Oryctolagus cuniculus: one gene and its partners. The protein of the gene in region 1 interacts with the protein of each later gene in a biochemical or structural test. Links are inferred from orthologs where the notes say so. Each region holds a gene or a part of one and is shown on either strand. Other genes may lie near its edges. The genes, in order: NCOA6, THRA and TGS1.

Region 1 (3,662 bases):
TAGATGGTGCTGAACCACAGAGCAAATACTATTTTAAAAACATTTAAATTCAGGGTTTGTTTTGCTTTAAGATACTGTCTGGCAATTCAAACCTATTACTAGCCAAATTTATCCTGGAGGCTCCCACTTTGCAGAAAAGGGGCAATACATGAGTGTGAGGGTCCCAAGAATCATCCAAGAAGAAATGAGATTTCTGAGGGGTGCTCACAATGCTTTCTGGACCCACTTGCCCAAGACTGGTGACCTCCCAACCTTAACGATACTGCTGCAACTCACTGATGAGAACGCAAGTACTAGTAAATAACACAAAATCTTGATATCAGGATGGATTTCCCTTTAGAAAACAATATTCACTTTTAAGACATATAAATTATGGGTGGATTAAAGTTTACACTTGAAGAATGTCACTCTTATTTACATGCCAAAAAGGAGGTAGAATAACGAGGAAAAAATCAAAACATGGCCCTTCCTCCACAGGGGAAGAATGGTCTAAGTGTGAAGGGCTTGCGGATCTTCATTGTGTCCCAGGGATAAGGCTGCAAGTCAGAACAGCAGCCAGGAATAGAGACTGTGGCAGTTGGCCTTTGTTCTATAATACTTTGAATGAATGAATTTTAGGAGCTTTTTACTTTACAGCATAATTTTTCAACATTTATAGAATAATATTGAGGCCGGTGTTGTGTGAAATGCGTAAAGCCACCACCTGTGACACCGGCATCCCTTATGGGCACCAGTTCTAGACCCGACTGCTCCACTTCTGATCCAGCTCCCTGTTAATGAACCTGGGAAAGCAGTGGAAGATGGCCCAAGTGCTTGGGTCCTTGCACTCACATGGGAGATATGGAAGAAACTCCTGACTCCTGGCTTCATTGCAGTCATTTGGGGAGTAAACCAGTGGATGGAAGATTGATCTCTCTCTCTCTCTCACTCTCTTTCTGTGTAACTCTTTCAAATAAATAAATAAATCTTTTTAAGAGGCAGGGCAAAGAGAGAGAGAAAGGTCTTCCATCTGCTGGTTTACTCCCCAAATGGCTGCAACAGGCGGAGCTTGGCCGATCCAAAGCCAGGAGCCTGGAGCTTCTTCCGGGTCCCCAATGTTGGCACAAGGGCCCAAGGACTTGGGCCATCCTCTACTGCTCTCCCAGGCCATAGCAGAGAGCTGGATGGGAAGTGGAGCAGCCGGGACTGGAACTGGTGCCCATATGGGATGCTGGCACTGCAGGCGCTGTCCTCTAAATACATCTTTAAAAAAAAAAAAAGAATAATATTACAATTAGAGAGGGGGACTTCAATAGTATGGGTACTATGTATCAAATTATTAAGCAGGGTGGTAGGCACATGAGTGTCTCTTTTACATATGTATATATTTATATATATAAACAAATCTTTATTTCCTTCTGATTTTTATGAGAACTTAAAATAACAAAGACAAATCTGAACATAATGTACAAATCTTCACAAGTCATATTGGAAATTTTTACTTAGTATTAACACAACATTTCAAAATGCTAGACACATGAAGTAGAGTGGTTAGCAAATAATAATACCGAGGAAAAAAATCCCTCTACTATTTCCTTGGAGAAAATGAAGTCACACACATGATGATAAGCACTTAATCTTTAGCTAACATTTTATCACCTGGTGGCCGGTTTGAAAATTCTGGCAGCTTAGGGCCTGAGTTGTCCAAGTTAATCCCTTGTTCTCCAGGCAATGGCTGCTGATCAGCATCTTCCAGACCAGCTGGGCGAGTATCTGGGGTGCTAAAAAAATAAGCAGCATATCTGAGAATAAGCTGGGTAGAAAATACATGAAATTAGTTTAACACCTCCCCTATTTCTAAAGAACCAGAATCTGCTTGCATTAGCCTTATTTACCTCTCTCTAGTATGGATAAAATATCCAATGTTGGCATAAAAAATAACCTGACAATTTCATAAAATGTTTAAATCCACTTAATGAAATACCACTGTATTTATTCAAAGTACTTTTCACAAATCTCTGATACATCAATTTTCATATACTCATCCACCCCTTAGATGTTTTAAGACCTGACCATAGTTTAGGGCCATCAACCACACTATCTTCAGTGCAGCTATCATGGTCAACTAGGGAGTCCATATTCTTTTTTGTGAATATTACAGTGGTAACTCCAATAATTCCTAATACCTTGAGAAAGGCTGTAAGTTGGCTGATGGAAATGGTATTCAAAGAACAGAGAAAGATGGAAAACACTCTCAACAAAGTTAATTTTGCTGCAGAATGAGTATTTGCATACATATTTATTGGCTTTGGGATGCTTTCCTTTTTACTTGTAATTTACATTTTTAGTGGGGAAGAAAGTGTACTTATTTATTGATTTATTTATTGACAAGCAGAGTGGACAGTGAGATAGAGAGAGACAAAGGTCTTCCTTTTCCGTTGGTTCATCCCCCAATTGCCGCTGCAGCCTGTGTGCTGCAGCCGGTGCGCTGCGGCCGGCGCACTGCGCTGATCGGAAGCCAGGAGCCAGGTGCTTCTCCTGGTCTCCCATGCGGGTGCAGGGCCCAAGGACTTGGGCCATCCTCCACTGCCTTCCCGGGCCAGAGCAGAGAGCTGGACTGGAAGAGGAGCAACCGGGACAGAACCCGGTGTGCCGGCGCCGCAGGTGGAGGATTAGCCTAATGAGCCGTGGCGCCAGCCAAAAGTGTATTTATTAACATATCCATTCCCAAAGAACCAGAGTATTGACATCTTTTACTTTGTTAGTAATCCCACTCCTACCTGCACCTTTCTTTACCACCTCCAGCTTTTCTTTCCTTGGCCCTCATTTCAGTCACCTATTTTTATTTTGAAATTTTTATTTTTAAAAAACCTATTTGAAAGGCAGGGGGAGAGCAAGAACAAGAGACTGATGTCTTCCACCCTCTGGTTCATTCCCCAGATGACCTCAATAACTGAAGTTAGGAGGTCAGGAGACAGGAACTCAATCCAGATCTCCCACATGGGTGACAAGAATCCAACTACTTGCTGCTTCCCAAGGTGTGCATTAGCAGGAAGCTGGAATTAGGAGTAGAGCTGGAACTTTAACCCAGAAATTCCATATGGGATGCCTGCCCCTGGTCACCCACTTTTAGAAAGTATTTTGTCTCATTATATTCTGTGTAGTTTCACAAGCCACATAGATTCTATCTTAAAAGCCTTAGCAGGGTTGGGTGTTTGGCCTCGTAGTTAAGATGTCCATGGTTCATACTGGAGTGCCTCCAGTTTTCTGCTAATGGATACCCTAGAAGGCAGTGGTGATGGCCCAAATAATCAGGTTCCTGCCACTCACTAAGAGACCTAGACTGACTTCCCAGCATCCAGTTTTGAACTGTTGCAGGCATCTGGGGAAATGAACCAGTGGATGGGAGCTCTCTCTCTCTGCTAAAGTAATAAATGAATTCTCAGCATATAGAAATTTAGAACCTGAATCAGGTCCCTACACATTCAGATCCTTACAATAATCTGCTTCTTCATATATCTTCTCTCATTTCCAATTATAGTAATTCTATAACCTTTACTTTCAGAGAATTATATAGCTAAAAAATTCCAGATATCTGGTCCCACCCCTTTCAAGCTATGGTTGATAAAACAAAAAGCCCAGAAAGCTGTGAGAGACAAGCCAAAGGTTCTACAGTGTGCTAG
Region 2 (2,341 bases), on another chromosome or scaffold:
GGTCTGAAGAGCATCAAAGGGAAAAAAGGAGGAGCACCAACCACCCCTCCCCCAGGGCCCCAATGTAGTGCCACTGACCCGGACACCCCCATTCTGGTGCCTGCCCACCCAGAGTCAGGATGAGCGCATTGTATAGGAGCAGGGAAGGAGGAGGGCAGAGGTTAGAGAGCCCAGAAGACAGACCAGGAAACAGGGCAAGCGAGCCCCCGCCCCCAGGGGCTGGGACTCAGGGAGATGCTCACGCACAGCTCCCGCCCCGGGCAGCAGCATCTGGACCATAGCTAATACTGCAGGACATGAGGAGGGCGGAAGCCGCAGCCACAGCTTTTCCCATGTGGGTGCCAAGGTGTGCGTGTGTGTGCGTGTGTGTGTGTGTGCACGTGTGTGTGTGTGAGGGGCGGGGGACAGGGACAGGCCCCTGGGGCTGGGCACTTGAATGGGGAGCTGTGCGGGCAGCAGGACAGGAGGTGAGGGGCCAACTGGCATCCAGCGTGAGAGGTAGATGGAACTCAGCGGGCACGAGTGGCAGAGAGCGGAGGAAGAACTGGGCTGGGGGTGCCAAAGGGGCACAGGGGGAGGGGCAAGGCAAGGGGGTGGCCAGGACCCTGTTGTGTCAGCTCACAGCTCTGATGGGCAGCCCTCCCGGTGCGGTCTGCTGGGAGAGGGACTCTCTTTGATTCGAGGAGGAGGAAGGGCAGCTGTCAAAGTGCATGGGGTGGTAAGGGGGGGTCCTTCCCCTCTGGCCAGCCTTAGTTAATAACTTAATATCATCTCTCTCGCTCGCTCGCTCTCGCTCGCTCTCGCTCTCTCTCGCGCTCTTTTTTTGTCTTTTTCTTGGTCTAGTTTTTCTTCATCTATCTTCTCCCCTTGCTTGTTTCCAAAGTGCAGTTAGAATGACTATAACATTTAACCCCCAGGGGAGGCGCCGAGCCAAGTCGTCCTCTGAGCCCAGGCATCTGGGGGAGCAGGAGGCCTTAGCTTGGAGGGGACACCTCGGCCAAGGGACTGGGCAGGGTGTCCCTCTCTCTCTCTCTCTCTCTCTCTCTCTCTCTCTCTGTCTCTCTCTTTTGTGCAGGGGGAGAGTTGAGGGCATCTGCCCCCTCCCACCTTCCTCCTCTCCCTACAGTCAAGATGGCTTGTCCACTCTGTTTCTCTCTCCCTTCCCCTGGCTTCTCAGAGGACTGGGTCTCCCCCCGCCTCCCACACTGTCCTTTTCATAGCAAGTTCATTTGTTGCCCTGTCCCAGGGCTGGAGGTTCTGAGGGGGGACCTGGGCAGTGTGGGGTGTGTGTATGGGAGCGGAATCTATCCGAGGGAGAGCGGGAAGGAGAGAAGAGGGGTGTGGGGGTGGGGTCTCCCTCAGCCCCAGCCCCGCCCCTTCTCTCCAGGCTCCTCCCCCCAGCTCCGGCACACCCTCTGGCCGCCTGAGGCTTTTAGACTTCCTGATCCTCAAAGACCTCGAGGAAGAGTGGGGGAAAGAGTTCGGTGGGGCACTCGACTTTCATGTGGAGGAAGCGGCTGGCGTGGCAGGCCCCGATCATGCGGAGGTCAGTCACCTTCATGAGCAGCTTGGGCCAGAAGTGCGGAATGTTGTGTTTGCGGTGGTTCACGTAGTGCTCGAACGCCAGCAGGTACGCCTCCTGACTCTTCTCGATCTTGTCCACGCACAGCAGGCCCGAGCGGTCTGCGGGGGAGGGAGGGAGGGCGCCAGGGCTCAGTGGCTGAGAAACACAGGCGGGGATGGGAGACTGAGGCACAGGGGCTGGGAGAGAAAATCGTGTGCAGGCGGGACCTCGGGGCACAGGACTGAAGCTCCCAGGGGGCCGTGGATGGATGCAGAGGACAGAGGGACAGAAAGGTGGGCCTGGCACGGGAGAGTGAAGCTGGGGACAGGGAGGACCTGGGGAGGGGTGGTGGTCAGAGAGGAGGGGTGTGGAGGGCACCAGGGGACAAGAGATGGGACTAAGGCACAGCAGGGGGTTGGGGACAGACGCTAAGGGGCATGTGAACGACAGAGATGATGGGTCCCAGAGAAAAGCATGGGGCAGACAGGACAGGACACACAGCAGGGGCTCAGGGGCATGAGATGAGGTTGGGGACAGGGGTATAGGGGGGTGACGGAGCAGAGGCTACGTGACAGAGGGACCTGGGTGATGGGGATGGGCTCCGGAGCAGCAGAGAGATCGGAAGATCCAGGAGGGGGGGAGAGCCACAGGCCCAGCTCCCGGCCCGCTCCGAGCCCTCGCAGCCGACCAGCAGGTACCTGTTGACATTAGCAGCACAGCCTGCAGCAGAGCCACTTCTGTGTCGTCCAGGTTAAAGGCAGACAGTGACTTGCCCAG
Region 3 (2,697 bases), on another chromosome or scaffold:
CACATATTAAAGAAGCATAGGCATGCTATGTTAAATGACAAAAAACTGAAAAATTTGTTCATTTTGGAAATCTGCTTTTACCCTACCTGGCACCCCAAATGGCTAAGCAGGGTCACATGTTAGGCCTGGAAGTGGTATTCAATGCTAGTAGCAATATTCAAAAACTTCGCAAGTTTTTGATATATACACTGATGCTACATAAAGAAAAAATATGGAAGTCAAGAACATTTGCATAGGTTTTGCTAATGCAAATTAATAAAAAAGTAATTCCATCTTTAATGGGCAGCTGAATTGATATTGTATCGCAGCACAATCAGGCATAACTTATAAAGTTAGCATATACCAACAAAGTTTTCTTTTAATATAAGTTATTTTTGTCTTTTTTCCAGTACTTACTAGAAATTCCTCCACTTTATTTCAACTTCCCCAGCCCCATCTCAGCCAAAATTGTATTTTGTTTAATGTCTAACAAGCTTACATTATTAAAAGATAACGGTTTCAGATCCAATCCATATTAGTCAGAGTTCTATATCTATTTATAAAAATGAGCACACTTTTTAGACAAATAATTAAACACACATTCCTCCTTTCTTTGCCACTTTAATAGAAAAAATACAAACTTCTGTATTACAAAATATATTTCACATTGATTTTGTAATGGAAATTTTAAAAACACTTTCTAAAATGAAATATTAAAAAGCAAATTCCAGACGAATCAAAGACATCAAAACAAGAACATTCCAGAAAACACTAAAGAAATGTATATTCTAGGAGTAGGAAATGTATTTCAAAATGACGTAAACTCAGAAGGCTGAAGAAAAAAGAATGCCTGATTACATTAAAATTAAAAACTTATGCCTGGCCCAAATACATGTATAAAAAACAAAACAAAACAAAACAAAACAAAACCCAAAACATGTCAAAAGGCAGTAACTGGAAAGACATATTTATAACACCTACTAAGGACTGAGGGTTCTTTAATTGACAAAGAACTCATATATATTAATAAGAAAATGACAATTCAAGGGAAAATTTTCAAAAGAAGGAAACAAAAAAGGACAAAATACATGAAAATTATCACTAATCTCATTTATAATTAAGGAAACACACACAATCAGTAATTTATCAATTTCCTCACCCATCAGATAATGAAATGCTAGGCAGGGAAGGGTGGAGGGAAATGTGCATTTTAATTAGTGTGGGTCAGAGTACAAGTGGGCCCACCTTTATCGAGGCATTTTGACCGTATCTACCAAAATCAAAATGTGCAACTTTATGGGCATAACAGTGCATCTGTTCAGTAATAAATGTTATACTCAAGGACAGTGCAGAATCATTGATAACAGCAAAAATACTATAAACAGCCCACAGCCATCCATAAGGAACTGGTTAAACTAATTACTGCATATCCAGAAGATGGAGTACAGGGCAGTCGTTAAAAAAATGAGGTAGATCTATATGGATGTACTGATACCCAAAGGTCTTCAAGATAAAAAGTCTATACTTAAAAATACATTAAGCATTAAATTGAAAAAGAAAATGAACAGTGCATCAATAAAAAAGTGTCATAGGGCATACTGCAATTCCTTTCTGTCCTCCAAGGAATTATAAAACATTGTTACCTGTGATTATTCAGAATGGTGAATAATGAGTAGGGGAGGGAATGGGAGACTCAATTTTTCATTTGTACCATTTGGTACTACCTTAAATATGCAACATTATTTTTTTACTAGGGTTTAAATGAGTAGAATACACCTCATTTGCTACTTTCTTTATATCTATTTTTAAAAAAACAGTAATTGTTTTTTACATATATACATCCACAAAAATGTAAAAACGTATAAAATTTTAGAAACACACAAAGACACACCCTAAAATTAACCACAAGGGCAAGTTTCCCTTTTCCATATCAGACACTTACTATCCTATTGTACATAGTAATATTGTCCAAAAATTTCAAAGCACTTCATTAATATTCTTGAAGCTCCTATAAGTTTTCATCCCATATGGCTATAGAAGACCTTGAGTACAAAGTATCAGTGAGTTCAAGAAGACATTCTAAGTTTCTCATCTGAATTATGTTTTGACTACCAGGTGACCTCTCTGTCCTTGTACTGCCTCACAATTAAGTTTCAGAGGCTGGTCTTCTGATTAAGTCACCAAAATAGGCAGTGATGGTCTTCAGTTTATTGTTAAGAAAATTCTGTTCTATTTCCACTTGCCCTCCAGGTCCAGCTAAGGATGCCACCTACAAAGATGAACAGAAGAAAACCACACAATAAACACTATTTCAAAACAATTCTTTCATTCATATTCCTTTAACAATTAATAGGATGATCTAGCTTTTCAATTAAGTCTTTCAAACAATTAGGCTTTTCAAATGTACACTGTTACTTCCCAAGTGGGTGTAAAGTACAATATTCTGTGGCAGAAATACTAGTTGTTTCAGACATTTTTGCTATTATGGGAAAGACCATACTTGACTTCTCCAATGACATAAACTAAACTCAAAGGAAGAGAAATAAAGACAAATTTTCCTGACCATCTTTGTCCTGTTCACCTTCTTTGCATCTTATCCTCTCATTCATTCAATATTTATAAGATACTGGGACCACACCTGAGGGCAAGACAGCTGTGATCCAGGCTGCAAGTCCTACTCTCCCAAAGAGTCTTGCTTCTACTAATGACTTTTCCCTT

What was found.
Region 2: the proteins of NCOA6 (region 1) and THRA form a complex in vitro, tested with the Homo sapiens proteins (2 studies listed by BioGRID). The link is inferred for Oryctolagus cuniculus from reciprocal best matches to the Homo sapiens genes NCOA6 and THRA.
Region 3: the proteins of NCOA6 (region 1) and TGS1 form a complex in vitro, tested with the Homo sapiens proteins (2 studies listed by BioGRID). The link is inferred for Oryctolagus cuniculus from reciprocal best matches to the Homo sapiens genes NCOA6 and TGS1.

The regions. Positions count from the first base shown.
Region 1 is NC_091442.1:23,354,708-23,358,369, reverse strand, and holds part of NCOA6 (nuclear receptor coactivator 6), read right to left. Parts: intron 1,761-3,662; coding exon 1,639-1,760; intron 1-1,638. UniProt on the Homo sapiens protein: Nuclear receptor coactivator that directly binds nuclear receptors and stimulates the transcriptional activities in a hormone-dependent fashion. Coactivates expression in an agonist- and AF2-dependent manner.
Region 2 is NC_091448.1:22,348,153-22,350,493, forward strand, and holds the end of THRA (thyroid hormone receptor alpha), read right to left. Parts: coding exon 2,263-2,341; intron 1,684-2,262; coding exon 1,433-1,683; 3' UTR 654-1,432; downstream 1-653.
Region 3 is NC_091437.1:81,055,304-81,058,000, reverse strand, and holds the end of TGS1 (trimethylguanosine synthase), read right to left. Parts: intron 2,249-2,697; coding exon 2,126-2,248; 3' UTR 585-2,125; downstream 1-584. UniProt on the Homo sapiens protein: Catalyzes the 2 serial methylation steps for the conversion of the 7-monomethylguanosine (m(7)G) caps of snRNAs and snoRNAs to a 2,2,7-trimethylguanosine (m(2,2,7)G) cap structure.